Macaca mulatta: one gene and its partner. Each later gene encodes a partner of the first gene's protein in a complex. Links are inferred from orthologs where the notes say so. Each region holds a gene or a part of one and is shown on either strand. Other genes may lie near its edges. The genes, in order: STRIP1 and PDCD10.

Evidence for each region.
Region 2: STRIP1 (region 1) and PDCD10 share a complex: the UniProt entries of both Homo sapiens proteins name them as parts of the core of STRIPAK complex. The link is inferred for Macaca mulatta from reciprocal best matches to the Homo sapiens genes STRIP1 and PDCD10.

The regions. Positions count from the first base shown.
Region 1 is NC_133406.1:130,138,125-130,152,055, forward strand, and holds the end of STRIP1 (striatin-interacting protein 1), read right to left. Parts: intron 13,651-13,931; coding exon 13,585-13,650; intron 13,476-13,584; coding exon 13,412-13,475; intron 11,511-13,411; coding exon 11,439-11,510; intron 10,958-11,438; coding exon 10,883-10,957; intron 10,728-10,882; coding exon 10,630-10,727; intron 9,367-10,629; coding exon 9,240-9,366; intron 9,023-9,239; coding exon 8,922-9,022; intron 8,148-8,921; coding exon 8,081-8,147; intron 7,536-8,080; coding exon 7,431-7,535; intron 6,809-7,430; coding exon 6,604-6,808; intron 4,839-6,603; coding exon 4,591-4,838; 3' UTR 3,854-4,590; downstream 1-3,853. UniProt on the Homo sapiens protein: Plays a role in the regulation of cell morphology and cytoskeletal organization. Required in the cortical actin filament dynamics and cell shape. Part of the striatin-interacting phosphatase and kinase (STRIPAK) complexes.
Region 2 is NC_133407.1:79,334,433-79,350,344, reverse strand, and holds the start of PDCD10 (programmed cell death protein 10), read left to right. Parts: upstream 1-5,524; 5' UTR 5,525-5,554; intron 5,555-5,803; exon of another isoform or gene 5,804-5,901; intron 5,902-6,008; exon of another isoform or gene 6,009-6,093; intron 6,094-14,833; 5' UTR 14,834-14,906; intron 14,907-15,912. UniProt on the Homo sapiens protein: Promotes cell proliferation. Modulates apoptotic pathways. Increases mitogen-activated protein kinase activity and STK26 activity. Important for cell migration, and for normal structure and assembly of the Golgi complex.

The DNA of each region.
Region 1 (13,931 bases):
GGAGGGGACCCATGGTGGGATGGGGGGCTCCTAGGGGAGGGTACAGGGAGGCCAGAGACTGGCTACTGGCTCTCATCCAGGGGCATCTGCCCACAGCTCATATTTTTCTGTCCAGTGACAGCTAAATGAAGAGAAAGCTAACTTTACAACCGCCCACTTCACACATAATGAATATGAATGGGCATCCCGGAGCCTGTTCCGTGGGATTGTCTGTAAGGTGACAGGTCCTCCTACTGACTGGGCCATCCCAGCCAGCCTGTCCCCTGGCTGGGGCATGCAGCCCTTCCACCTGCTTCTCATTAGCTGTGTCCCTCCTCCTCCCACACACCCCTAAGACACAGCCCCCATCTCCAGATACCCCTGTCCCCAGCCTCACTCCAGAGGTAACCTCAGACCTCCGCCCAGGCCAGTGGTTCCTCAAGGCCAAGCCTGTGCTCTGGCCACTCTTTCTGGGAAGGGAAAGGGGAAATGGCCCCTCCTGAAATCCCAGCTCCTTTTGCTGAGGCTCTTGTCTCCCCCAGAGAAGATGCCAGAGCCCTAAATCTTGGTCCTGGCAGGAACATGGACACCAGGTCAGGACTAGAGGGCCACAGCCAGGGGGCCCATCAGTCCAGTCTGCCCACCTCAGTCAGCAGCTGGAAATGCTTCTCCTACGAGGCATTCAATCCTCCTTCCGCACCTCTCCCATTTACACTTCAACCTGAATTACAATCCCAAAGTGCAGACCCTCTGCAGCTCCAGACAGGAAGAGTCTAGCATGGCCAGGAACTGGGAAGACCCTAACATTTCCTTTATCCAGCAGAGGAAAGACATACCTTGCCCCTGCCCCAGTCTCCTCCTCAGGCTCATCCCAGCCATTTTCACCTGGAAGGTGGTAAGCATCAAGCGTTAGCTGTCAGAGCCCTCGATACTGATGCTGGAGCCCCCTTCCTTCCCACTCAGCGACTGCCAGCTCCCCCAGCAATCTCTCCTCCAATAGTAAGAGGCTGGGACCAGTGGGACCTGAGGTAAGCCCTTCAGACGTCTGTTACCTATCATGCTATTGCTTTTACTTGCTCTTATGACTGTGTCTCCATCAACTGTGAGCTCGAGAGAAGTGAGAGAGTGTGGTATCCTAGTCACCTGGATATCCAGGGCATCAACCACAGGGCCTGGCCCCAACAGGCCTTCAAGGTGTGATGGCAGGTTGCTGGACGAGAAGCTGACTCTTCTGAGACACCTCTGGATTCAGAGCAGCAAGCTAGGTCCAGGAGCTTTAAGGAGGCCTAAGACATGGTTCTGGTCCTTGAAGGGGATTTCTGTCTTCTACGGACACAGGAAATGGGTGCAAATTCATAGAACATTAGAGTTGGAGGGGCCATTGCCAAGACTAAGAACTGCTACCATTTATTGTCATCCCTTGTCAGCCAGACCTGTAGGTTCATTTCCATGATCTTACTCAGTCCACGCAATAGGGCTATTATTAAACCAATTTTTACAGATGAGCCAACTGAGACTTGGAACGTGACTAGCTCAAGGTCCCTCAGTGAATAAATGTCAGAGCCCGAACTGAAAGTCAGGGCTGTCTCACTTCCAAAGGGTGCTCCTGAGGCTGACTGTGCTAAGTGCCGAATGAATGTAACAGCTATTCTCCTCTGAGAAGTCAGCTCATCCAGGACAGACAAGAAGCCAGCTTTCTGGGAAATGAGCCTAACAGGTCTGGATAGGGCAGCCAACACAAGAGTCCTCTGGGACCCAGAAGAGAAAGAAATTTAGGCTCAGGCTGAAAAGAAAAAAGACAGCAGCAACAGCCAAGTTACCCTGAGGAGGGCATATTCAAGGAACACCAGAGGCTAGCCCAAGGCTAAGCTTGGGTGGTCCAGTTAGGACCTAAAGCAATGGACATTTACCATGAATCTTTCATGCCAGGGATGATGCTAGAGCAAATAGAAGTATTGGCTGTGGTAAATAAATGAGCAAATGAATGCACTGGTGGTAAGTACTGGTGGTAAGTGCTGGGGTATGACAATGACTAATAGCAAAGGGTGTGAGGAAGTGAAAAAAATGCATGTGCTGACAGAGGCCTGGATTTGAATCCTGGCTCTTGCCTTTATATGACTTTGGGCAAGTTCTTTATCCTTTCTGTGCCACAGTTTTCTCCTGTGCAAAATAGGGATTAAAATGGCATGTATCTTTCAAGATATTACAAGGAATATATAAGATATTATACATCAAGTGGTTAGAATGCTGGCTGGCACATAGTAAGTACTCAGTATTTACTGGCTTTGTAGAAAATAAGGCTTTGAGAAGCATCTAATATTGTGCCTGGTACCTACTTGGCAACCCATAAGTGGTAACTCTTATGATTAATAAGGGACAGTTCCTATCCTTACAGTGATACTGCCTCAGGGTAGTCTGTCTCTCAGTGGATTGAAGAGTGGACCCTGAGTCTGCTTAGCAATAAACAATATTTTATGTAATTCAATCATTTACAAAGGGTCTTCATGTACTCTGCCTACTTCATGACCCAGATGAGATTTAAAAAGCCACAAAAACTGGGTGGCTCCAAAAGACATTTCTGTACAAAGTCCTGAGTTCAAATGGCCAACCTGCCACTAACATGCTCTGTGACTGTGAGAAGCCCCTTCCTCTCTCTGGGCTGGCTCCTGGGCCTACAGCTGAAGGGATTCACCTGCCCAGGCTTCACGGCCCTTGCAGTTTTGATAGTCCTGCATTCTGTTTTGCAGGTCAGAGGAGAGACAGGCCTTGACCATGCAGGTTCAGTGACTCAGGCTTCATGGGACAGTACCAATGTGAAAAATCCATCTCTCCCTAATTGAAATCTCAAGATACATATTTCCTACCAGTCCTGGCAAGAAATAGCAGAAAATCCATCATCCACACATAAACTGTCAATTCCCTTGTCCTGTACAAGTTACTTTGGGGCAAAGGGCCCATCAGTCACAGATGGGACTTCCCATCTCACAGACTGTGTGACCACCAGGAGTACACTGCTGCCTTCCACCCCTGCTGTCCCTAACCATGCTGGCACATCAAAAGGCCTGTCTGAGGCTCAGCAGGTCCCAGGTCAGGCAGGCACTGAACACAAGACCCAACGAAGGGGAGATTCTCCCCAGAACATGTTTCCTTTACAAGTCAAGACCCTTCAAGACTTAAGAACCTATAAAACAACTGCGTACAGGTAAAATAAGAGCTTCCAGGAATTCTAAAAAGGGAACACTCCTTTTACCAGCATCAAAACGGTAATATCTTCTCAGGCAGACGCAACCAGGGGTCTGGAGGCCAGAGTGTAGGCGCCAGGTGTCCACTGACACCCACTTCAAAGATTTTCCTTGCTTTTTTCTCAGCCACAGGGGGCTCCTAGCTCCTGGCAACATTGTTTCCCACCATGAACCTGACTCCTGATAGTCTGCTTCCTACGCTCTGAGTACTGAAGTTTCCGCTCAGTCCCAACCACCTGCCCCAGGGAGGACCTAGAGCAGCTGACCCCCTTGCTTTGACCTAGCCCCTCCCTCTCTAGCACTGACACTGGTTTGGCTGAGGCCAGCTCAGTGATGTGATCCAGAGAAACCTGGGGCTCCTACTGAAATTACAGCAAACCCAGGGGTGCAGGACAATGTCTCAGTAAAGTAACCTTGATAGTGCCCTGGAGTTGGGTGAGAGTAATCCCAGATTACTGTGGGGTTAATTTACACTGGATAAATGCCAACTCCCTCTTCTCTTCCCCCAGGATGGGAAAGGCAGGCAGCTTGGCAAGACAAGCAGTGACCAGCAATGCTAGCAGAAAAAAACACTTTCTAGACCTGGAGGAGACATGTAGAGGCCATATTTCCCGTAGACAAGCCAACGGGAATGATTTTTGCTTATTTTTAATGTAAACAGAATACACAAACACATTAAAAACCCCAACATGACACAGGAGAATACACACAGAATTATATATAGGTATTTACAGGCCCTCCAAAGCCAAAAGGAAAAATGGCCCCTCTGGTTAAGGGAAGCTTCTCTTCCTACCTTGTCCCTGTCCAAAATCAAAGTGTGGAGGCAGCTGCAGGAGCCTCTGCAATTACTTCTGCATATAACATAGCAGGAGGCTGGAATAACAACAGAAACCCCCCACCCCCACCCCAGAGCACAACCAAGACACCGTTGTATTTTTTTTTGGCCCTGGCCCTAATCCTAAACTCTCCTCCTTTGCAAGCTGACAAAGCAAGGATTTGTGTGTCTCAGGAGGCATCAGCATGACCCCTGAAATTTAGATGTGCTGTGGAGGGGTTCCCATCCCATTCCAGCTTTCCCAGCCTTGGGCTGATTGTGAAATGAGCCAAAACCAACCATGTCCAAGAGAGGAGGGTGAGAGAAATAAAGGAAGAATGGATCCCAGGCAGAGATGACTGCTTCTGAGCTGGACCCTGGGAACCAATAGGAGGTAAAGCTGGGCTCATCCAAACCCAGGACAGACTGCAGAAGACACAGTGGGGCTGTGCTGCCACCTGGTGGGGAATGGGAGCGCTGCAGCCATGAACTAGGACAGTCCTGCAGGTACCTTGAGATCCTCCTTTCTCTGTTTCAGTCCCCTAACCAACAGCCTTACTGCAGCAGCTCTTCCCAGGAAATGGGCTTGGAGAAGACCTCCCTTTCTAACCAGAGGTCATAGTTCATCTGAAAGTCCTCAGGGAGGTCCACCCGTTGGCCCAGGACACTCTGCAGGCAGTTGTCCACTGGCAGGAAGTCGGGGTTGCTGTGGGCCCGGTCATAGCGCCGGGCGTTGAAGCGTTCAATGTTGGCACGGAGGGCACACTCCTCTGCCTGGAAGTCCCAAGGCCGGGCATCAAGATCTGAGACAAAGCAGGAAGAACACAGTTAGGAGCCACGCCCTGTAGCAGCTCCCCATGGACTCACTGCAGCTCAGGGGCCTGGCCAGGAATATTGAGTGTCAACTAGGAGCAGGATACCTCCGAGCTCTAGGAATTCCTTCCTAGATCCAAAGGAGAGTCAAGTACAAGCAGAAAAGACAGAAGTACCGACAAAGAGGCTTATACTGTAGAGATTATGTAGACCCAGAGAGGGAGAGCCATGTGTACAACACATTTCTCTCAAAGTGGCAACCTCCCTAGCTCTCTGGGGTCAGAGGGAGGAACCTGGAAATCCTCTCATTTGCTCATTCTCTCTCAACTCCCTGACCAGGTACCGTGTGCCACCGTGGGCCTGCACACATTCACAAGGCACTGAGAGTACAGACACAGTCATTTAGCCATGGTGGTATACTCCAGAAACGCAACAATGTGGCAACACACCCACACAGAGCAGCCCAGGCAGGCAGGGGAGACCCTGCGGGTGGAGGAAGAGCGTCTGCAGAGGCCTAGCAGTGGTAACCACACAGCTATGTTAGGGCACTAAGCACTCCTTGTGCCTGGAGCTCTGGGTATGATGGAGGCTGGACTGACAGCAGGTAACGAGGTTGAAAAGGAAGCTGGGTCAGATTACAGAGGAGGATAATGAAAAAGGACGAGGGAGCCTCATGCTTGAGTCTGAATCTAATTCTAAGGGAAACAGGAAGCTAATGAAGGATTTTACTCAGGGAGGTAACAGCACAGAAGCTGCATGTTGAAAAGATTCACTAGGGTGCCGGGCGCAGTGGCTCATGCCTGTAATCCCAACACTTTGGGAGGCCAAGGCAGGTGGATCCCTTGAACCCAGGAGTTCAAGAACCACCTGAGAAGGATAGGCACAGTGGCTCACGCCTGTGATCCCAGCACTTTGGGAGGCCGAGGCGGGTGGATCACTTGAGGCCAGGAACTCGAGACCAGCCTGGCTAACATGGTGAAACCCCATCTCTACAAAAAATACAAAAATTAGCTGGACATGGTGGAGTCCAGCTGTAGTCCCAGCTAGTTGGGAGGCTGAGGGGGGAGAATTGCTTAAACTTGGGGGGCGGAGGTTGCAGTGAGCTGAGACCGTGCCAGTGCAAACCAGCCTGGGTGACAGAATCTCTGTCTCAAAAAAAAAAAAAGAAACAAAAAAACACCCTAGGAAACATGGTGAAACCCTGTCTCTACAAAAAAGATACAATTAGGTGGGCACAGTGGAATGTGCCTGTGGTCCAGCTACTCGGGAGACTAAGGAGGCAGATGTTATGGTGAGCCAAGACCACACTCCAGCCTGGGCCAACACAGCCCCATCTTTGAAACAGGCCCCATCTTTGAAAAAAATTAAAGTAAAAAAGGATCACTAGGGAAATCTAAGACACTGATGGAGGGGAAGGAACTAGAGGCAGGGAAGCCAGTCAAGAGCTGTAAAAGTTTGGGTGGCCAAAATGGGGATGAAAAGAGGGGACATAGTGTTATGACAATTTCTAGAAAAGGAATGACTTGGAGGTACAGGGAGAGATGGGGATGATCGCAGATGCCAAGCCTGGGTAGCTTCTCAAAGTCCTTCCTAGAGTGCCCATCCTGATGCTACAAAAGCAGAAGCTGGGCTCCTTTCTGTTCCTTGGTGGGAAGCTCAGGGCAGAGAAGCACCTGAGCACCACGGGCAGGGAGTGGAAGATGTCACCTTGCCCGACACACTCCCACCCAAATGTGACTGAGTGCAGAGCCTCACCGTTGCCGTATGCCCAGTCGTCATTGAGCCGATGCCGCACCTTCTGGTAGATGGCAGACATGGTCTTCATGTTGCTCTTTCGCCACTGCCGCCCCAAGTATTTGGTCTGTACCTTGAGCAGCTTCAGCACGTAGAGCTGCATCATGGCTTGTTTCACCTTTAGGGCCCGCTTCAAGATGGGGGCTGACTTGAACACCACCAGCATCTGGGAAGGCAAACAAGCAAGCAGCCCAAGCTGAAGACAGAAATAAATGCATACAGCCCTGGTCACGCTGCTGCTTAACCCTTTGGAAGTTAAGGTGACAAACCTTCCCAGTTTCCCTTGGACTGAAGCGTTTCCTAATACATTGGACTTCAAATGCTAAAACCAGTAGAGTTCCAGGCAAACCAGGATGGTTGGTCACCCTAAGGGTCACTTTGGAATCTGAAGAAAGCTATGGATTCTTTCCAGAAACATTCCTGTGTACATGTACACATAAGTTACCAGAGGATTCAAGGACCTCCCCACCCCAAAGGCATCCACAGACCCAGAGTTAAGGAAGATTCTCAGAACCCTGGTTATGTAACCAATCAAGATTAAGATGACATGGAAAAAGCTCTTCTATAAGTGTAGATTTGTTTTAGTGCATGACTGGGCCTCTTCCAGCTTCCAGTTCAACTCATCAAACTCATCAAGGAACTGGGAACTGGCCCATAAAATGCAAGGATATGGCTACAGCAAAGTTAAGTGAGAAGGCACAGTGAGCCCCACCCTAGGGACTCCCTGCTCCCAGCACTCTTCTTTGAGCTCCAAGTTCCAAGCCTGCTGAATGCACTGACTCACTTACCATTGTCCTTGAATGCTTCCACTTTGTCAGCTTGTTCAAGATCCGAAGCAGATTGATACAAGAAAAGAGGTTCCTCCAGCAAAACTGGTTACTGTCACCTGCTTCCTGCAGGGTAAACCCAGGAACAATCAGCCCTCACGGCTACAGTGTGTGCAGCAGTTTCCAAAAGTCCCTCACACATGATCTTAGAAGAGCCGGGTCTTCAGGCCTCTACCAGGAACCCCCTGCTCTCAGAGCAGCCCCAGGACTCCGTCCCAGAAACTGGCAGGGACTAGGGGAAGAGGGAGGCTCCCCAGACTTTTCCTGAAGGAAACATGAACCGTGATACTGGGAGCTGCAGCCTTGGGCTGCCCTAGGGCTCCTATTGCTGAGTCCAGTGTTGAGGGAGAGAAGCCCTCTACGAGGTGAGCTCTGGATCAGCAGCCCCTGAAGATCACACTCCCTGACAAATCCCTAAATCCAAATCTCTCTGCTCTGCAAGAGCCCTCCTCCTGGCCCTTTTGTACACTTACAGTGCTCTAAAAGCCGGGCACTCCACAGTGACTTCGCCTGTGGGAGACACCTCTATTCCTGTGGTGTTGGGGTAGGCAGGCTCTCTACTCACTAACCCGGGTGCCAAAGGGACAGCCGAGGAGAGCCCAGCCACTCACCAGACTCTCCGCAGTCAGCTCTGGCAGCTCATGCACCACGCAGTGAGGGTAATCCAGGACAGAAATGCTGCAGAGGGGAGAGGATCCAGGTGCCCACCATGAGCAAAGGCCCAGGGCCTAGTGGAGCAGCCATGCCTGAGCCAGTTCCCAGCCTTCCTCCCTCACTTGTTGGAGCAGAAGTAGGAATCTACCTGGTCTGTCCCACCCGTTTCCCCAGCTATAAGACGAGGAAATATCTGCTACAAGGGAACTTGTAAGGCACTCCTGTAGCCAGAGGCCAGCCGGTTGATCTTGTAAGGGGCAGAGACCCTCACAGCTTCCCCCATAGCCATCAGTGCGGGGCTGGGGAGGAGACTGCTCAGGGCAACTAATTGATGCCAAGCCTTTCTGGAGACAGGGTCTGGCCAGCGCCCTGTGGTATATCACACTGACGAGCAAGTAATGTCAACTATAGCTGGCACCAGGCCAACAGCAGGGGCTAAGAGTCAGCAGACAGGGCATTACAGGGCACATGGCCGAGCCCCTTAGAGAGAGCAAGCAGCCCATGGTCTCCTCAAAAAAAAAAAGTACAAAAGGGACAGGGAAGAAAGTACTAGATCCCGGGATGAAAACCCTCCTGCCCAGGTACAGGCCAAGGCACCTGGGGCGCGACTAGCTCGACTCAGATTTGACACACTGGGCTCTCCACAGGCAGGGGCCATGTCTCATTTATCTTTGTGTCCTGATGCCTTGCAGAGCGCTGGCTCGTAGATGCTGGAAAAATGGAGGCAGTGGGAAATACCAGCTGGGAACTCTGCTGTCTGACCATACCCGCCCCTTCACGGTCCCTGGCCCTCGTCACCTGTTCTTGGCGGTGATGTAGGACATGATGTTTTGATTGAAGAACTTTAGGATCAAAGGAATGCAGTTGGCAAACACCAGGTGCTGGGCCATGTATTCAAACTGAAGCCAACAGGGGAAGAAAAAAAAAAGGCGTGGCCCTTGGGACCTTGCCTTCTTTCCTCCAGGGATGAAAGGCCTTGGCTGGAGGGCCATGTCTTAGAACATTCATGCAGAGTTCAAGCGGGTCAAAGGCCAAGGCCCCCGTTCTTGTGGGCTGGAGGAGCAGTAGTGCCTGAGGCCCCAGACCACAGGACAGGAGGGAAAGCCCTGCGGGTACCTGGTAGACATGGTTCAACTTAAAGTGCTTGAGCAGCAGCAGCAGGACAGCAGAAATGGCCTTAACAATGACCTCTTTGTGGCGGTTTACGTCCACCCCCAGCTTCATGCTCTGCAACACTGTGGTGCTGGAAACATAATTGCCTGGGTAAGCCACCAGCATGTGCAGTACCTCCTTTCTAGGTGCCCACAGAAAAGATGGACTCCTGAGCCTCCCTGGGCAAAGACTCCCACCTCCCCACTCACCCCATGGACATCTCAGAAGTCAGCCCAGGGCTCCCCCATCCACCTCCCAAGCAATGTAGCCTGGCACAATTTATTCCTTCCCCATGATGCCCTCAAATACATTCTTAGTCTGCTTCTCTGCCTTTCCTCTAAAAATGAACTTCTTCTCCTTTCCAAGATCTCCCCTAAGCTCCCCTAAGCTGCCGTATTAACCTGAGTTCTCCAAAATGTGTTCTGTGGAATACCAGGATATTGGCAAATTTCATGTCATGGAAAAAAGGGTTTTGGAGTCAGATAAATTTAGGAAGCACTGAGTTACATCAGTTTCTTAATTCAGGACTTCTCACTGTACATCTTTATAAAAGGAATTCCTCCTTATAAGAGAAATCCATGAATCAAATATATAGTATGACTCTAGAACCTTTTTTTCAAGGATCATCACATGATGGCCTAGTGTTCTGTGATTCTCCCTCTGGTATTAGCCAATTCCTGCCTCCTCCTTCACCTGGCCATCACTGCCATACTTCAGGGCCACAGCCACCCAGGAGCTGGACTCAGGGCTGGCGGCCCAGGCAGGCAGGAGATCAGGTCAAGGTCCAGGTCCTTCTCAAAGTAGAACATGATCTCAATCTGTACTCTCACATGAAAAACGAGTACAGGGCCCAGCGCAGAAGAGCTCTGAAGAATCTCACTCTATCACCCTGAGCCATTTGCCAGCATTCTGCGCGTCCGCTTACTGGCGAAAAGGGACGTCTCTATACCTGGCACAGGTTCAGCTATTGCTGGCAAGCTGTCTACAAGCTAACCCTCCTTATCCTGGTGTCCCGATCACAGCTGGAGAGGGCGGCTTTGGAGAGGGCGGCTTCGGGGCAATGTCCAGGGTGGCCCCATTCATTTTACAGAGGAGGAAATTACTTTCCCCAATTCACTCAGGAGTTCGCTCAGTGGCAGAGTCTACACTAGAATCCAGGCCAACAGGACCAAGCCATCTCCCTAACCAGTGAAACTCTTTAATCTAGTAGTTTCCTTTTTTTTTGAGTCAAAAATACCTACATTTAACCTGTAGAGAAGCTGGGCCAATAACAACCAACCTGACAAGAGGAAAACGTTTGCCCTTCTCCATCTATCTTCTGCCCCACCTGCTCCATTCACAGAACGATACTCACGGCATCTCTTCAGGCAAGACATCCGCTAGGATGTTGATTGAGTCTGTTTTAGCTTTTGAGGTGGGTGCTGCAGCCAACAGGATCTTCAGGAGGGCAATCTGGGAAGAGTAGACCATTCAGACACAGGTCTGAGAGCCCAGGGCCAAAATTAAGCTCTGAGCAGTCCTTCTGTTGGTCCACAGGTGGCAGGAGGAGGGCAGGGCCCACTCTAAGGCCACTGTAGTGGGAGGGTCCCACTGTAAGCGCCACTCACCATATACTGAGGCAGGCTGGGGAGCAAGCCTTGGTAGAGGGTTTCTGCAGGGACTTGCTCAACTTCTTCTTCTCCCTTTTAACATAATGGGTACAAGCATAAAACCCCAGCCCAGAATACAATCTCCTGAGCCAGCTTGCTAGCTGGCTGGAGGAAAACCTGTAGACGGTGATGTACATAATGATGTTAATGATAACAGCAAACCCTGAACACAATGTGCCAAGCATTTTACTTGTAATAACTCAGTTCATTCTTATTATAATAACCCTATAAAGGTATTATTATTCCTATTTCACACACAAGGAAATAAAGCGTAGAGACACCCAGTAACTGGCTTAAGTTGTCATCCACAAAGTGGTAGATCCAGGCATAAGAGGCAGGTTCCTGACTCAGTCTGTATTCTTAACCCTGCACTAGACCTGTGTCACCCTCTGCACTGGGAGGTGGACTGGGAGTTCTTTGAGGGCAGGGCCTGGGGCAACCTTGTGGTCTAATCCCAGCACAATGCCTGGGAAGAGCTGGGGATCCTGGTGGCTGAAGAGGACCTCCAACTTACCCCTGAGAGAGGGGAGCGGAGGTACTCCTCCTCCATCTGCGCCTGGACCTCTGCAATCGACGTGTACTTGTGCTGGAGGGAGAGATGGGAAAAGAAGGGCTGGGGAGAACATTCTCTGGCCAAACTCCCTGCACTCTAGCAAAAGCCCCACACATTTGTCTTCAAACAGTCTTCTGAAAGAGGATAAGTCACCACAAAAATCCCTAACTAAAATCCCAAACCCAAACATTTTTCTTTTTCTTTTCTTTTTTTTTTTTTTTTTTTTGAGATAGAGTCTTCCTCTATTGCCCAGACTGGACTGCAGTGGCATGATCTTGGCTCACTGTAACCTCCGCCTCCCAGGTTCAAGCAATTCTCCTGCCCCAGCCTCCCAAATAGCTGGGACTACAGGCGTGCACCACCATGCCCGGCTAATTTTTGTATTTTTAGTAGAGATGGGGTTTTGCCATGTTGATGAGGCTGGTCTTGAACTCCTGACCTTAGGTGATCCACCCACCTTGGCCTCTCAAAGTGCTGGGATTGTAGGCATGAGCCACCATGCCTGGCCCCAAAATATTTTTCTAAATGGGCCCCTTCCTCTTGCAACTAGAGTAGGAAGCCCACAGTAGATTAAAAAAAAAGTAAATTAAAGGAGGGAAACAGGCTTTCAGATAGCTACAGTGACAGGAGGAAAAACTGAAAGCAAAATCAAATACTCAAAATGCCTAGCCTGCAGAGAGACCACTTAGTACTACCAATTCCAAAAATATATTTCAAAACATATCAACAGTTTCACTCCAGACAGCTGTTAGGGGAGATGCCTCTTCCCCACTCTTTTTTTTTTTTTTTTTTGAGACGGAGTCTTGCTCTGTTGCCCAGGCTGAAGTGCAGTGGCTAGATCTCGGCTCACTGCAAGCTCTGCCTCCCGGGTTTATGCCATTCTCCTGCCTCAGCCTCCCATGTAGCTGGGACTACAGGTGCCTTCCACCTTGCCCGGCTAGTTTTTTTGTATTTTTTAGGAGAGACGGGGTTTCACCGTGTTAGCCAGGATGGTCTCGATCTCCTGACCTCGTGATCTGCCGTCTCGGCCTCCCAAAGTGCTGGGATTACAGGCTTGAGGCACCACGCTCGACCTTCTTCCCCACTCTTAATGTTCTCTCCTATGTGGAGGAACAGAGGTTTGCCAAACACCCCTCATCTCTCTCTGCCCCATCCAGACACTCACTGCTCCCTTCTCTGATCAGAGAGTATGGGAGGGGACACAGGGCAGCCTTGGCTCCACCCTTCTCTTTTCCCTTTAGAACCTGTCTGCCTGCTGAGAGTCTGTGCTCTCTTCTCCTGCCCGCACTGCCTGGGACTGGTAGGTATCTCTGCCTAATTCTGAAACAATGTATTAGGACACTACTGCTGCGTTCTTAAGCCTCATTCTCCACAGCTCTATGAGCTATAAAGTTGGCATTACAATCTCCATCTGCCTACTCCTCTATTTCAACTGCCTGAGAACGTGGGCAAGGAAAAGGAGGGTTATTTATTGAGCTCTGTAGAATTCCAACAACTGTCAAGTAATATAATCCTTTTTTTTTTTTTTTTTTTAAAGAATCCAGGTCTCACTCTGTGGCCCAGGCTAGAGTGCAGGAGCATGATCATAGCTCACTGTAGCCTTGATCTCCTGTGCTCAAACAGTCCTCCTGCATCAGCCTCTTCAGTAGCTGGGACTACAGGCGTATGCCTTGGTGCCCAGTGGTCAGGTAATACAATCTTTAAAGACTTTCCAGTCAGTCCCAAACAAAAGCTCAGCTAAAACAAGTAAAACTTATAATAAAACAAGCAAAACTTATGAAAGACTGTTTGCAAGGTTATTCCAAAGTCCACCCTGGCCTCTATCCCAGGTTCTTGCAGGCAGACAACAGTCTTAAAAGGCTTCTCCCTACAGGCTGGTTTCACTTTACTCACTTCGGACCAAACAAGCCAAATGCTCACCCAAAGCCACTCACCTGTTTCAGAGTCTTGATGCTTTCGTGGATTGGCCTGGGCAGCCCCACCACTGTGTTCGTGTCACTGGAGAATAAAGAAGGCCCTGTGTTGAGCCTCGACATTAATTCACCTGGGATCCCAAACACCAAAGGCTGGGAGAGCTAACAGCAAAATGAACTTGGCTTCTACTCACCTGCCTAGTGTGTAACCTATAAATTTGCTGCGGCTGGACTCGAGGAACATCTCAATATCTTTCTCTCTGCCACATCCCCCCAAAAAAGAGAGAGAAAAAGGTTTTTAGCAAATGCTATTTCAAAGTGTTACAGTTAACAAAAACATAGAGCATCCAGAAACTGTGAAGCCAGGAGAAGAAAAAGTCTCCCACAACTGTTTTTCTCTTTCAAAAAAGGGAAAAAATAGAAATTTTCAGAGTATTTTAATGTTTCTTATAATTTTGCTGGATCAATAACCTGGAAATATATTACATGTTAACTAGTTTATTCATAAAATTAAAGAGATACATTAAACTTAAAAACATAC
Region 2 (15,912 bases), on another chromosome or scaffold:
ATGGTATGAACTAAGTTTACCCTACACAAGGCACAGTGCTAATCATTAAGAATAATATCAGCAGGGCATGGTGGTTCACACCTGTAATCCCAATTCTTTGGGAGACCAAGGTAAGAGAATTGTTTGAGGTCAGGAGTTTGAGACCAACCTGGGCAACACAGTGAGACCCTCATCTCTATAAAAAGTTAAAATTAGCTGAGCATGGTAGTTCTTGCCTATAGTTCTAGCTACTGGAGAGTCTGAGGTGTGAGGAGAGCTTGAGCCCAGGAGTTCAAGGTTACAGTGAACTAAGACCAGGACACTGCATTCCAGCCTGGGCGACAGAGTCAGACTGTGTCTCAAAAAAAAAAAAAAAAAGAAAAAGGCAGGTTAATTATCAGTTCTAAGCAAGCCAATTTATATCCATCAACATGAAGGTAAAAGTAAACAGAAGGTAGTTAAATATTTGCTATAATTAATTTTACTACTAAAAAACTATATACAATTAACGAGAATTGTATAGGTCTTAAAATTTAGGAAAAATTACGTTAGATTCTTAATTCTAACACCAATCAGATTAATTTGTTTTGAGAAGGTCAAATGCAAAAAACAATTAATGACCAACTCTACATATGTTTAAACAAAATCAGTCTACTTCTTTCTTTTTTTAGAAGAAATAATTAGAAAAACAGAAGAGCAAATTAAGTTTTTATAGAATGAAATATGGTTTCTACAGATAAGCTTCAACAAAGGTATAACTCCAGGGCCTTGAGGTTAAATGGTGGTGTGCCCTGGATTTTCCTGTCTGTGAAATTCAGACCTTAAGTGCCACCATTTGGAGATTCCTTTACCCTTGCCTATATATCCTATTTCTGAGATGAATTTAGAAACGCTGGCGCCTAAATTTGTAACGTATTTGCAGCCCACACAGTGTGAATCCAATTGTCCTCAATCAACACTTTCGCAAAGGCAAACTAGCATAAAGACATTCTCAGAAGGACTAATGTATAAGCAATCATTCTGTGAGGTCAGCTGACTCTATCTATCAAAGGGCAAATTGTCTTAATGTGAGCATTATAGAAGTATTGTCCAATGTCCAATGATTCTAATTCAGTAATTGGTTACTCAGTTTCTTTACGCTGAATATGACATAAGGTGCTCAGGACTAAAAGGAGATAGAAAAGAAGTACATGGTCTCTAAGAGTTAATAATGTAGTTACTTAAAACACAGTTTCCAAATTTTAAAGACTAAATTCTTAGAAGATTTAAAAAAAAAAAGAAACAACAAAAAAACTCTCCCTTATTTGTGTATGTTAATTCTGATCCCAAAAGCAGTGTTTAACCTTTGGAATTTGCTTAATTAAATAAATGGTATCTTGCTCATCTTAGTGTCTGGTTCAAGTACCTTTATTACTTTAAAGGGGCAAAACATCATTTTAGGTATTTACTTCTTGATATTTTGTCCAAATAATGTTTCACTTAGACGTGAGTGTACACAGGGAGGATTTTTATGCTTTAATAACCCATGAATATTCAAAATCTAATGAATACCAGTTTGATTCCAGTTAAAATGGCCATTGACTGGAATCAGACTGGTATTCATTAGATTTTGAATATTCATGGGTTATAAAAGCATAAAAAAGGAAGGTTAATCATCCAAAATGTATTCCAGTAAAAACTGCCATTTTAACTGGAATCAGACTGGTATTCATTAGATTTTGAATATTCAATTTTACTTAGAAAAGTAATGTATTCCAGTATGAATACAGGCCTGTACAAATTAATGACTGGGGGAGAAAAGGCCATGGAATCATGGATTATGGGAACTTAACAAAAAATAGAAATTTTTTTTCTCTTTTGCTAAAGGTGTGTTTCTCAAGTGTTTTCTTTATATCTATTCCCCTGTCTCCTTCTTTACCAAAACCATTTGATCTTGGACCTTTAAGTCTTGCTCTTTTGTGCTGCATGCATCAGTGAATCCTCCTGTTAAAGAGAAATCCATACTAACTTATTTTTACTCAAAAGGCTTAGAATCAGAATTCTAAAGAAAGGACCAAAGGATATGGTAATTGGAAATTAACCAAGGTTTTTGGCTAAAGAACAATCATCCCCTGAGCAATTTCCATTCAAGAGAGACATTCTGCACTCTGTTGCTTTTCCTTTCTCATCATATATATTCACTGATAGCCATATACCAATAGTAAAATTAGAGAGCAGAATAAGTAATATGCTTATAACATAGGTAGCATTTTACACAGAATTATAAACTGCCATAAAACGAACGTTTTCAACACCAATCAAGAAAAATCTTCAGATTACCTGAGATTGAATGTGAATATTAACTAACATGAATCAAGAGTTCAAAGTAAAAAATAAATGCCATATACCGCCAATGATATTCTCTCATGTAAAAATATGGTCTTTTTTCAAATGATATTGAAACCCAATCTCTTTTACTGACACAGTAAAAAGGATCCAAATCTTGGAAATAGGTGAAAAAAATCAGTACTTTAATACCACAAACTCATTCATTCCTAATGAGATTCTAGCCTTTACCATGCCTCAGAGCAGAAGACCTATCAAAAGCTGAGATTCAAAGTACATCTTAATTTCAACTGTTTAGATATTTATCTTCTATCCATTTGCTTGCTTATTAACTGTTTCCCAATAAAACTCTTTCAAACAGATATTTTAATAAAGGCTCGGAAAGAATTTCATTGCTAGTATTATAATTATTACATGGGGGAAATAACCCAGAGACAGCAATTATTCAGTTTCACAAAACGAATTAGTAGTAGAGTCTGAGAAAGGATCTAAGACTGATTCAAGACAATTCACTTAATCACAAATAACAAGGGCAAACAATCTTTTCCAAGTGTCACCCTAATACCCACTTTTTTTTTTTTTTAACCCCAACATCATTTTCACAGGGCCATATCAGCTATGTGAATTAATAGATTCTCCAGTGCTGTAGCAAAGATAAAATCTGATCCTTACAGTGCTTAAGTTTAGCAGCTACTGTTGCTTTTTCTTTCTTCTAAGCTCTTTGCTGTTTTTGATACTTAGCTGATCTGCTTAGGGATAATCAAAAAGCAGCTGTTTTTCTAAGAGCTATCTGTCTATATATTTCTATGGTATGTGAGAGTGTGGGAGGGAAGAGTATATACACTGATAAGTCACTTAGGCTTACCGGTAGTAGCACGCAGTAGGACTGAACTTTAAGCTGGGAAGAGAATTCATTTGAGCCATTTCTTTTCAAAGAGAAATCTGGCATGCATTACAAAAATAAAATGTAAAATCCCGAGAACTCAGGAGAGCACAGAAATAGGAGAAAACAAGGCAATTACTCCATTTTATTGACCCTGGTTATTAAAAAAACATAGATTAAAGTATTGAGACAGACTCTGAAATATACAACTGTCACAATGAAAGCATTTCAGAGCAAAATTTGCTGCAATATGCTACTATGATTAAAAGCCATGTAATCTGGGAACCTCTGTAACAAAATGAAAATGAACTAGGAAAATAGCTTCTTACTACTTCTCTAAAAATAAAAGGCTGTAATTTTGTCATAATTACACAAAGGTAGGTGAGACTTTCATCTTTACCCAGCATTACAACATATTTCCATCCATAGGTATTACAATTACGTTGCTTTGAATACACATATGGTTTAATACCGAGAATAAACTATTATTTTGTGACACTACATGTGTTTTAAATCTGAACCCACCATCATAACACATATTAAGGATAGTCCTTCAGCACATACTTTCTACCCAGAGAAAAGATTCCCACACAGCTTTCCATGTACTCTTGATTTTAAAATGTACACATATTATCGGACACAAATGAGAGAATAAGGAGCAGCAGTGAGGTACACCATATGTTCCCACTGTAGGCTGAATCCAGGTCTTTGTTCCAATATTCCAGAGCCACTGGAAAGAAAGCTAACTATCCATTCATTAAAATTCATTTTTACATTATTGCTGGCAAAAGTTATACTTTTGATAGATTAAGTCAGAGCCCATCCTATCCTGACTATTCCTGCCTGCATTTGCTTCTTTAATACGGATTTCTTGCAATTCTATGAAACTGCAGAATAACCACCCTGGATAACAGGTCGGTAGCAGAACAATCTGATAAACCAACATAAAGGTAGACACTGAAGAAGAACGCAAAGTTATCTTCCTAGTGAAATAGTTCAGAAGTCATTCTATATCAATAGCAAAATTTTTGCTTTTCATACGCTACGCACCTATAACATCCACCAGATAACATCCACCTCGTCCTCAATTAGCAGGGTTTTTCTCAATCTTGAGATCCCCCCAGAACAGTTTTACTGGTGTAACTCAAACCAAAAACACTAACCACGCCCTTTATACCCAGAGTCAAGCTTCTTTTTGCTTTTTTGCCCTTACAGTCCAAAAATGTAAATCTTTCACCCGAGAGGGTTTACACCGGTTTCCTAACCCAAGGCGGGCTCTTTTAGCTGTATCTTGATGTAATTCCTATTGGAACACGTTTTCTCCAGGGCAGTGCAGACGCCCCGAAGAAGGACCCACGCTTACCTCCCACACACCTGCAACCCCTGACGGGATGCTGGAGCTGGTGCTCGGAGGACTGTGCTCCGCTCCGCTCTCGTTCCTGCTTTCGTCTCTCCCGGGAAACTACAGTCCAGACTGCGCCTCTGGCTTCTACAGGGACCCAAGCTCCGCCTCTCCCTCCTCTAGTTGGCGAATTTGGCAGCTGTTGCTCCTCCCCCTGCTGTTTTTGCAGCTGCCCGGGCCGGAGGCAGCGGAAAGCAGCTGCCCGTGTACCTTCCCGCTCCCCGCACTTCTGCAGCTGCTCTGCCACTTCCCCTCCCCTGGGGGTCCCTCTCCCCTCCTCTGTGGCTCACACCTGGAGCGGTCTCCTGCCCCACCCAGGCGTCTCTGCTGGGAGCCCCGGCTCAGCCTATCTCTCCCCGACGCGTGGGTCTGGTTGCCCGATGTGCCCGGGGCTTAGCTGCTCCTCCGCCCTGTGCAAGTCCCCACACCAAGCCCTCCCTTCACCCGGGTGATTTCCCCGAGGCTTCCTCTCCACCCGTACGGCATACTCAGCCCGACAACCCCACGATCCCCACCACGGGCCCCTCACCCCCTTCCTTCCTCTGCTCTGTCAGCCCGCCCCCTCAATGGGTGAGGCGCCTGCGGGGCCTACCCGGCACCCTGATTGGCGCAGGTGAGGGCTTGCCCCGCCCTTCCTCTCCCTTCCGTGCACCATCTCTCTTCATCTCACCTCCTCCCGCAAAGGCAGGGAACTCTCCTAGTATTGGCTAGAAGTGTCCCCACCCATCGCCTCAGGATCTCCCGCACGGCCTGCCGGGAAGTGTAGTCTTCCGAGTGCAGGAATTCCGGGCAACGTTGGCGAGCGGGACTACGAGTCCCCATAGGCCTCTGCGCGACTCCGGCTGGGCAGGATTCCGGACAACGCCTGGTTCCTCTCGGGTCCTTCCGGCGTCGCCGGAGTGAATTGATCCGGGAGTTGAAGAGGGCTGCAAAGGTGGGAAGTGAAGTCAGTGCCTCAGTTGCTGGTAAGGTGTAGCTGTTCTGTCCCAGTCCCCATAGCTCTGCACCGAGCAGAAGAGGTCTAGGGTCACGCAGGGGCCATGGCTGAGGCACTCGGGCTTGATTCTGGCAGGCGGAGCGGACGGGGCTGAGAGCGGGGCCCTACGGGCGTAAGCGAGGTTACCCTACGCGAGTGGCGTAAAGCGGGTTTGTAAATGCCGCCTGCCGGCTTGGGCCCGAACGCCTCCAGGAAGTCTCCTCTAGGTGGGGGCGGGAGGGGAAGGGCGAGGTTGGCCCCTGGTGCCCCGGGAGAGGGGAGAGGGCGGATGTTCCTGGGGTGGGGTCCTTTGAAGGTGTGGCTTCGCACGGAGAGGTGAGGCTGCTCTTTTCCCCCTGCTTTGTAAATAAGAGAAAGGGAGGAGGAAGGAAAGGGTGCTGGGCAGTCTGCTGTCGGGGGTGACTCGGGTTATGCCCTTTGAGGGAAGGGGAGCACTGGAAGAAGGAAGAGACAAATGTTGAGGTCTACGGATTCAGTTCCAGTTTAATGATGTGGCTCTCTAAGGAGGTAATTTTGCCTTAAACAGAAAGGCTTGACCCTCGTAGGTGTCATACCCAAGTATGTTTTTACTCCTTTACTGCTTTCAGAGCGCTTTCATTTTGGGATGCTGATGAGGAAACCGAGGGATTATATGACGTGCCCAAGGTCACACACGTAGGGACAGACTTTCTGAATCTAGTCCTGTTCGAGTTCAGCTTCTGGAGTAGGGACGTTGGTTGTGCTTTTTGAAAAGAGTGGAGGAAGTTGCAAAGTAAATGTATTTTATGTAGTACATCTAAGAAGCCATTGTGAGATGAAAAGTTGTTTCTTGAACTGGAGTGAAATTCCTCAATAAAGGAAAGAACCTTTTGGGAAAAAAAGGATCAGTGTTAACTTTTACAGATTTCCCCCTCTTTTTTAGGGATGTATTAAATGATAGACTCTACTCTCTCAGTTCATTTTTAAGGGTAGGTAATAGGATGGGAGAACAACAGTTAATATCCATCCTTAGAAGAACATTCTTTTCTTTTTCTACTTTAGGACTGTTTTTACTCTCATTTTGTAAAACTGATACTAGTTGGATTGGAATTCTTTCACAAAACTTTAAACTTTTTTCAAATAATGTTAGGAGAGTTTAGTGTGCCCGTTACTAGAAAAGAAAGTACTTTGCATTTCTTGGAGGTAACATCGTCTTTTTTGTTTGAGATTTTACTTCTCCCCCATTTTCTTGACTTTAGGCTGTATTTGTGTGTGTGTCTGCAAATAATAGAATTAGGCTGTTACATATTTTTATTTTTCTTAGAATCATCTGTGACTTTCAATTCATTCTTACTTTACATTAAAGAATGAAAAAACAGTACACTTACATTTTATCTCTTGCAGAAAATAGTGCCCTTATGCAAATTTTATCCTCTATTATGACCAGTTATAGCTCATGACTATTATTATTGGATAGGTTTTTAATAGAATTGTAAGAGTATGTTCATTGATGCCAGAATTTCTTTGTGATAACTTTATATCCATAAAGGTTAGCATGTAATAAATCATGGCTTACTCTTAACATGTAATAAATCATAGCTTACTGTATTGTGTATAAGTTGATCATCAGACTATGCTGAATTTTGAATGTACTCTGCAGTTACTATATTATCAACAATATAGTAACTTTTTAATGCAAAAATTTTTTTTTGGAGTAGAGGTATTCTCTTACCTGATGGTTGAAATTAAGATGGTCTGGAAATTAATACGATTTTTAAAATAGAAAAAGTATGCTACTATAGAATGAAGTAAAATCAGGAATAATGTACCATGAGTAATGTAGTACACAGACAAGGAAGACCCAGTTAAACAAATGGAAAATTATGTGAGGATAACTGACTTTGTGCTGGATTAAGAAGGGTGCGGTGGTGTAAATAGACCATAAACTGAACATGAGTCAGTGATGGTAAAGGAAGAATATTAATGTATTTTCTAGATGACAATGTAAGTATTTGCCTTTTGTTGAAGGAGGTGTGAAATAAATTCTAACCTTTGGCACATAACTCTGTCATTATCGAAAGAGGTTTTGAACTATGAGGAAATTTTGGAAATAATATAATGCATTTGTTCAGTGTATTTTAGATTTTGTTCTTGGTTCATTTCTGCCACTACTCTATGTCTGAGGCCAATTATAGTTTTGATATTTCTTCTATTGGGATGGTGGATTAATGTTTGTATTGTTTTTAATCATCTTTCAATCACATGCTGCAGTATTGTTGTCACTTTAGATCTCTGCACGTTGGATAGTTAAGAGTTCACGGAGTTATGTGTATACATGTAGTTTGCAGCTCACCAGTGTCTTCATTTATTCTCATGCTGGGCTTTGCAGGAGCCATCGGCTTTTGGATGTAATTTCTTATAGGACTTGGGATGTCTTCCATATATTATACATCTGTCTCTTTCTCTTAAGGATGTAAGGTCTGTAAGAATAGGGGCTGTTTATTATTGTAGTCTCAGTAGGTAAGGTAATATTTACGAAGAGAATGAAGAAGCTCAGGTTGGTTAAGTGACTTGTAACTGGTGGGAGTAAGATAAAAATCGAGATCTTCTGACTACAGATCTTTAATATTGTGGAGTAAAGACTTAGTTCCCTTAGATTTACATGAGAACAAGACAATGTGACTTAAATATTCAAATACTATTACTTTCTTACTCTGTTTAACACTAAAAATTTATCTCTTCTCCTATCCAACTCTCCGTCCTTATCCCCAGCCTTTCTCATTTACCATGCCTTTTGGTTACTACATACATAAGCTCCTTCCTGACTTGGTGGCCATTGCATATTCCATCTCACTCCTTGGCCTACCTAAATGTGGCTACCTGATAGTCAGTTTTCATATCTCAATTTAAATATTCTTTCTCGGGGGAGCCTTGCCCTCCTTCCCAAAACCAGAATAGGTTCCCGCCATGTATTCACCATACTCTATACTCCTTTGTGGCATTATGATAATAGAAACTTAATTATTTCTGTATTTATTTGACAAATATTGTCTCCTCACTGGACTATGAGCTTCCTGAGCAGGGCCCTCTCATTTGTCATGTGTTACCCTACCCCACTACTTACGTAGTACCTGGCACAATATAAGGGTTCAGTAAATATTTGCTGAATGAATGAAGGAGTGTATTCATGCACAATGCTTCCGGTACTTCTCTGGGGACAGAAATAGAGAAATGAATAAAGCAGATATGCTTTCTGGATTGAAGTATATAAGAACTTTCAAATGAGCCGTAATGCTTAGGCAATTTAGGTTATATGCAAAGGAGTCATTGACAGAATTTTAATATAAATTGTAGAAAAATGTTTGTTCTTTTTGGAGGTCTCTGAAATCAGGTTTAATTTTCTAGATGGAAATGACAAAGGAATCACTTTCATTTACAGCAAAATTGCTGTGTAACGCAGCATTTTAGAGATCACTGTCCTGCTTTTTGAAAGCGATGTTCATTATGACAAAATACAGACATGGAAGAAACTTCTAATGGACTCTTCTTCCCTAATGTTACCTCATTTTGCCCTAAAAACCTTTATTTCCTCTAGGTAGTATTATTAACGCTGTTTTATAGCTGAAGACATCAAGAAAATAAGTAAATTTACTTATTAAACTAAAAAAAGTTTAAATTGCTAGAGTTTCCAAAATGTAGGTACTGGAACCATGGTTAGAATCCAGATCTGTCTCCATATTCTAAAATCCATAATTCTTCCTTTTTCTTTGCTTTTTTGTTTTGTTTCTTGCTTTTTAACTTTGCTATCTTCCTATGAATTATACCTTTAATATCACTTAATTTAGACAAGGTGGCTTTGTAAAATTGAGTAGTTTTTGTTTCAAAGGAACTTATATTTTGGGATTCCTAAAAATTTTTCTAATACTTAAGTGAATCTTATTTGCTTTAAACCTGGAGACTTAAGCATAAAAAGATCATTTTTTAAAACATGCAAACTGAATTTTAGTGATAAATCGTGTTAGGTTTTGGTCTTGAAAACAAATTCCGCAGTCATTTGTTGTACCACAGTATGGCATAGAGTAAGGTCAATAGTCCTGAGTTATTATAGCCTTATATGCCTTCATGGATTTACCAGTTTACTTTTCCACAAGATATTGTCAAAAAGAGATTGCTGATATTTGGCTTTAAAATTTAGTAATACTATCCATTTTATTATTAAAAACAAGTCTTTGCTAAATCCGAAACTTTTTAGAAAGTCAGTGTTGATGTTACTTGAATCTTGGATGAAATATTCATATTTACCTAGCATAACCAGTATGTGGAGGTTGAAGCTGAAGTACTGCTTTTTATATGTTGTTGGACGATTAAGGTCATTATCGTAGGGGTTACTAAGAATTTTAAGCCACTTGCACGATAAATAATTTTTTTCCATAATATAAACTATAAAAGTGGTTTAGAAGTTAAATGTCGTTGTTATTTATGTTATTGCATTTGAAATATTTTAGTAAGCTGCGGTGTTAGAGGGTTATGCTTTAGGGACACACACACACAAACACAATGCAAAAATTAAAGCACATTTATTATAGCAATTAGAAATAATTTATGTGCTGAAAGATAAACATTGTGGTTTGGTGGTTCATTTTTGTCTGTATGAAGATGGAAATTTCAATTTTGTCATTTAAGCTACAAAATTTAAATGTGTCTTAAATGTATTATATTACACTTATTTTTCAAGCTCACCCTTACGTTTTTGGCTATGTATAACCATTTTTAAAATCACCCAGAGGTGATTTTACACTATTCAGTTTCATTCTTATACAGTTGACAGAATCAAGGTTGCCTGTAGGGTTAAAAGAAAAAGAAAAGAATTTTATTAACAAGCTTATGAACTATTGGGTAACAGCAGTGGAACATGTTAAGTGGTAGTCACTAACATAGTCAGGCCAGTCCCTTGGGAATAAGTTTAGCAGAGGTTAGTCTAAATAATGACTTTTTGATTCATTTACTTATTGAATGCATATTACCTGTGAAATTGCCTTAAACCTTCTTTGGAATGAGCTGGAACCTAGTATAATAGCTAGCTTTTATTGAGTAGTAAGTAACTGTCAGGTCTCATGCTAAGCATTTTGCAAGATCTCTTATAATCCTTACAACAACCCTTGGAGGTAGAGGCACTATTACCTCCAATTTTTAAATGAGGAAGTTAAAGTACAGAGAGGTTAGGGAACTTGCCTAAGGTTGCAGGAAAAAATGCTTGGAATTCGGATTTGAATCCAGGCTGGCTGACTCAAGAGACCATGTTTTTCATCATTAAAGTAAAAATGATGTTAGTGATTGAACTGTGTTGGAGAGAAATTAGCATTAAGAGTTGTAGTTACAGAGAAGTTAAGTCTTAAATGCTAAGGTCAGCGTGGCAGGCAGAAATTACTTAATATTCAAACTTTTGAAAAACCTATTAGGAAGTACACGTTGTAGCACACAACTTCAACACAGCCAGTTTTTTTCTAGCATTGGAGTAGATTTCTTTTGAGTACCAGGTGAAGTGTTTGACTTGTTATTCAGAGACCATATTGAAAAAAGAAATACATATATTACAGTACAAGAGTCACAATCAGTGTGGCAAGCTGCTCTTTGTGAGAGCTCACTGTGGCTCTCAGTCTGGTGGGGGGAGAGGCAGATCCATGTTTCTTATCTCTCTCATTCTGGGACTTTTGCATATGGAATGGAATTACCATATACTCCAGTAGTTATTTTTAATAAAGTTATTTTTTGTTTGTTTTCTTCAAACAAATGTTCACCATGTCTGTTGAACTTGCATAGGGTAGGAGTATCGTGTGAAGCGGGTATGCTCCCTGGAGTGTTAATGCCAAGTGGCAGTGTGACATGTCACTGTGTTTCTTTACTGTCTGTCTTCCCTGCAAAACTCCATACCCTCAAGGGTATGTGCTATTCAGCTTTTCATCACCATATCTCCAACTAACACTGTTGCTGACTTAGACTGACTATGCAGAATAGTGTGTTGGATACTAGGAAATAGAGAAATGGATACAATTTCTCTTTAGGGAGTTTATACTTTAGTAGATACAAGGGGAAAGGGTTGAAAGACCATTGTATGGACATTTAGTCTTTCTAATATAGTAAGTACTTCCATGTGCATCAGTTCATTTTATAATTTTAGATTACAGCTGATAGAAAAATAAATGATAGTGTGTCTAACTGCCATCTGGTCCCTGGCACTGAAATGGGTCTCCCTGTCTTATTCAGTCATTCTCTCTTACTTCAAGATAGACTGGAATTCAACTGAGATTGAAGTTATGGAATGACAAAACCCTAAGATGTTACACACTGGCTGCCTCCTCAGACTTATATAAGGTTACTACAACAAAAGCCTGTTGGGAATGTTAAATGAATCAGACCTGGCCTCTAGACAGCAACTGCTCCCTATACGAGTTTAGATTGTTGCAAGGTTTTTTGTTGTTGTTTTTTTTTTTTTTTTGCATTTAATTCCAAAGCGTTTGGAATCCTTTGGTTTTTTTTTTTGTTTTTTTTGTTTTTTTTTTTTTTTTTACTTGAGAAATGCACATCTTTCTCTTTGTCTTTATCCATATTAAAATTGGCATTTATGCAATACTGTCAAAATTTGAGAGATTTCCAAGGTTCTACCTTATTTTTGGTATGCTTCCTTAAAAAATAAATCACACTTTTGCAAAGTGAAGGTTACAGGAGGAACTGTAAATGCAGTAAAAACAGATACTATTCTGACCCTAATTTCTTCTTGTAAGCAATAGTATTTATATTTGAGATCAATTGGGAGCTAAAGGTAAAGTTAAATGGCATCATCAAGGTAGAATCTTGGCCTCATTAGCACCTAATGTTAAATAAGGCAGAGGCTATTTATTGTCTGGGGCTAATACTTTTTATCAACATTTGAGTGGCCTGTAGCAGTGTTTTTGGTGCAAAGGTAATGAAAGTACCTGTTGCATGTTTTAGAAGATCTTAAGCCATTAGGAGTCATTAAGTTAAATTCTAGGTATCTAAGATTATAAGTGATACAAAGCAAGTAGCTCTGACCCAGGGTGGTACAGATTCCTTTAATTGTACCTTTAAGCAGAGAGGGCATAAGAACAGTCTGAGGATTTAAGTTTAGTTTGATTTCTAAGGGATTTTAAAGGAAAGCTTTAATTAACATCATATTGGAGAAATTAAGACAAGGAATAATATTAGCAGAAAGGAAAATAGACATGTACCTCAATTAAACACCGAACAACTATTCAACTAGGCATCATTCATGAACCACTAGATTGAGAACTTTATGGGCAAAAGATAAACATATTCAAGGCGACAAATTTGTTTCCTGTCTCCCAACAAGTATTTTCATTTAAATTTTACTCAGATCAGAATTTACCAAAAATTTAGACATAGGGAAAAAAAATGAGGATAGTCAAAACTAAAAAGATGTATATTTTTCCTCCTGAACAAGTTGCTTTGAAGTATCGTAAGGAGCCAGTTGTTACTATTTTGTTATTGTTTCCATTTCCCATCAGCTAATTCAGAGGTAATGAGCTCTTTGATTTTGTTGTCAACTTTTGATTATCTTGTATAGATTATCACCTTTTATGAATTATCTCAAGGGCTTTGATCAAATCTTGATTTCAGTCTGCAACCCAGCCTGCTACCCAACCTGCTTCTTGACCATGGTTTCCTTTGTTAAGTTTACCTATGTACATTTAGAAAAAGTAATTTTAACATTGACTTGGCAAATAGTTTTAAAATGCCCCGATGACCAAATTATTTTATGTAAGCCAAAACTAAGTTTTTTTATGCACCCATTTTGGCAAATGGGAGAAAAAAGATTTTGAAAATATGCTATGTAGGTGGCCTTTATGACATTGTGATATCAGTGTTTGAGTCTTATTGTGTATGTTATGCAGGGGAAGGACTAGGGTGAGGCAAGAAATGTGCCTAGGGTACAAACTTTGAAGAAGCAGTAACTCTCCAAGTCGTGCAAATCAGAGCAAAATTTTGTGTTCTAGGCATCTGGTTTGCCTCACCCTAGTTGTAGTCGATTCCATGTCAGGTCCCTATAATTTTGGCTAAAATATTAATAACAATATGAATAGAATGGTTATTGTGTGTTAGCTACTGTATTAAGTGTCTAATATGCATTTATTACTCTTAACCTGGGGAAGTGAGTACTTCAATATTTCTGATTCTCACTAGTTTAGAAATAGAGATTTACGAAACTGAAATGATAGCATCCAGCTGAGCAAAAATTCAAACTGAGGTTTTTTTCTTCCAGTCTGAGCACTATCTCCTGCTGTATACTGTCTATGTGTAGAAAAAGTTACTTCTTACCCATTTTATAAATTTCTGTATTAAACAGTACTCTGGCCAGGCACGGTAGCTCATGCCTGTAATCCCAGCACTTTGGGAGACTGAGGTGGGTGGATCACCTGAGGTCAGGAATTTGAAACCAAACTGACCAACATGGTGAAACCCACGTCTCTACTAAAAATACAAAATAGCCAGGCATGGTGACAGGTGCCTATAATTTACCCAACTACTCGGGAGGCTGAGGAAGGAGAATCGCTTGAATGTGGGTGGAGGTACACCACTTCACTACAGCCTGGGCGACAGAGTGAAACTCTGTCCCCCCCCCCCAAAAAAAAAGAAACAGTATTCTACAAAATATGTAAGTGCATACACTTGACATGATAAAGTTAACTTTTAAAGTTAACTTTTAAGGTGAGTTAGAAGTCTCAGCAGCACCAAGTTGAAGATCCACAAGCTTGTGCTGCTAAGTACCCTAGAGCTGTCAAACATATTAAAGAAGAAACTAAAGCATAGAGGGGTGAAATGAATTGTTCAGAGACAAAGATAGTTTATAAATGACAGGACCAGAATTTGAGTCCATGCTTTGAGTCTTTAAATGCTTATGCTTTTTCCTTGTATTTTTCCTCACAAATTGTCCATTTGATATTTTTAAAGCATATATATAAACAATACAGTGGTAAAGTGCTATATACACTTATCATTAACAAGAGATTGCTTCTAGATGTCCCTAAGTGTAAAATTATATAATTACTAAACTGACAGTAGTGTATGTTCAAGGAGGTTAAGTTCCACTTAACTTTATTAAGAAAACTGGAAATGGAAGACATTGAATTATAGAAGATGTAATTTGCAGGTCAAGAAGAGAAATGTAGGTATATCCTTAAGATATCAAGCTCATTTTACTCTATAGTAGGATCACTGACTTACCCTATTCCTCTGCCTCCCTTTTTCCTAGCTTTCTCCTCTAAATCTTGGTCTCTTGTTTGGAAGTGACTAACAACGTTTTGGCGTGAGAAAATCCTAAAAAGGTATGTGAACTGTGTCAGCAAATGTTAACCCCTCCCAACTGTGTTAAATGGCCAGCCTGTGATCTATACAGTCTTTGTATATTTCCATTTTCTGTAAGAGCTTGATGAGTATGTTACTTTTGTTTGTTTGTTTTGAGACGGCATCTTGCTCTGTTGCCTAGGCTGGAGTGCAGTGGCACGATCTCGGCTCACTGCAACCTCCGCCTCCCAGGTTCAAGCAATCCCCTTGCCTCAGCCTCCCGAGTAGCTGGGACGACAGAAGCCCACCAACAAGCCCAGCTAATTTCTGTATTTTTAGTGGAGATGGGGTTTCACCATATTGGCCAGGCTGGTCTTGAACTCCTGACCTCAGGTGATTCACCCGCCTCGGCATCCCAAAGTACTAGGATTACAGGCATGAGTCACCATGCCCAGCTGATGAGTATGTATGTTAAGTTACTGAAAGAAAGCAAGGAATTGTCAGTTATTTGAAACCCTGGGTCAACCAACTCTTGGGGAGGACTTCCTTACTAGAATTTGTAAATAATTTTTAATGATCTGATGCTTAAAAAAAAATTGTCTTAAAAAAATTCCCATGAAATTACTTTGGAAAGTATAGCTGATAACAACAATGAAATCTTATTATCACTGAATTTTGGGTCCAGTGATAATGTGGCTGGGTCCAAGCTTTGTTAATAGAATTAATTTGATTTTTGTGTTTGTTTTTATTTTGCTAGGCATGCTATTTGAAAAGTATTAGCAAGACTGATTCAATTTATAAATTGTCCATCTCTTAACTCATGAATTTGGTCACTCAGCAAACATTAAGTGTCTGTTATGTGCCTGCTTTGCTGACTCTAATGTCTCTATTGGGAAGAAGAAACACACTTTGAGAACATAAATACAGGATTCTGCTCACTGCTAGAATGAACACACTTCTCTTAACTGAATGTTCATGCACATTTTGTTGGAGATCCAGCATACATGTCAATCAGCCTTTCCCTTTTTAGAGAGAGAAATTACAGGA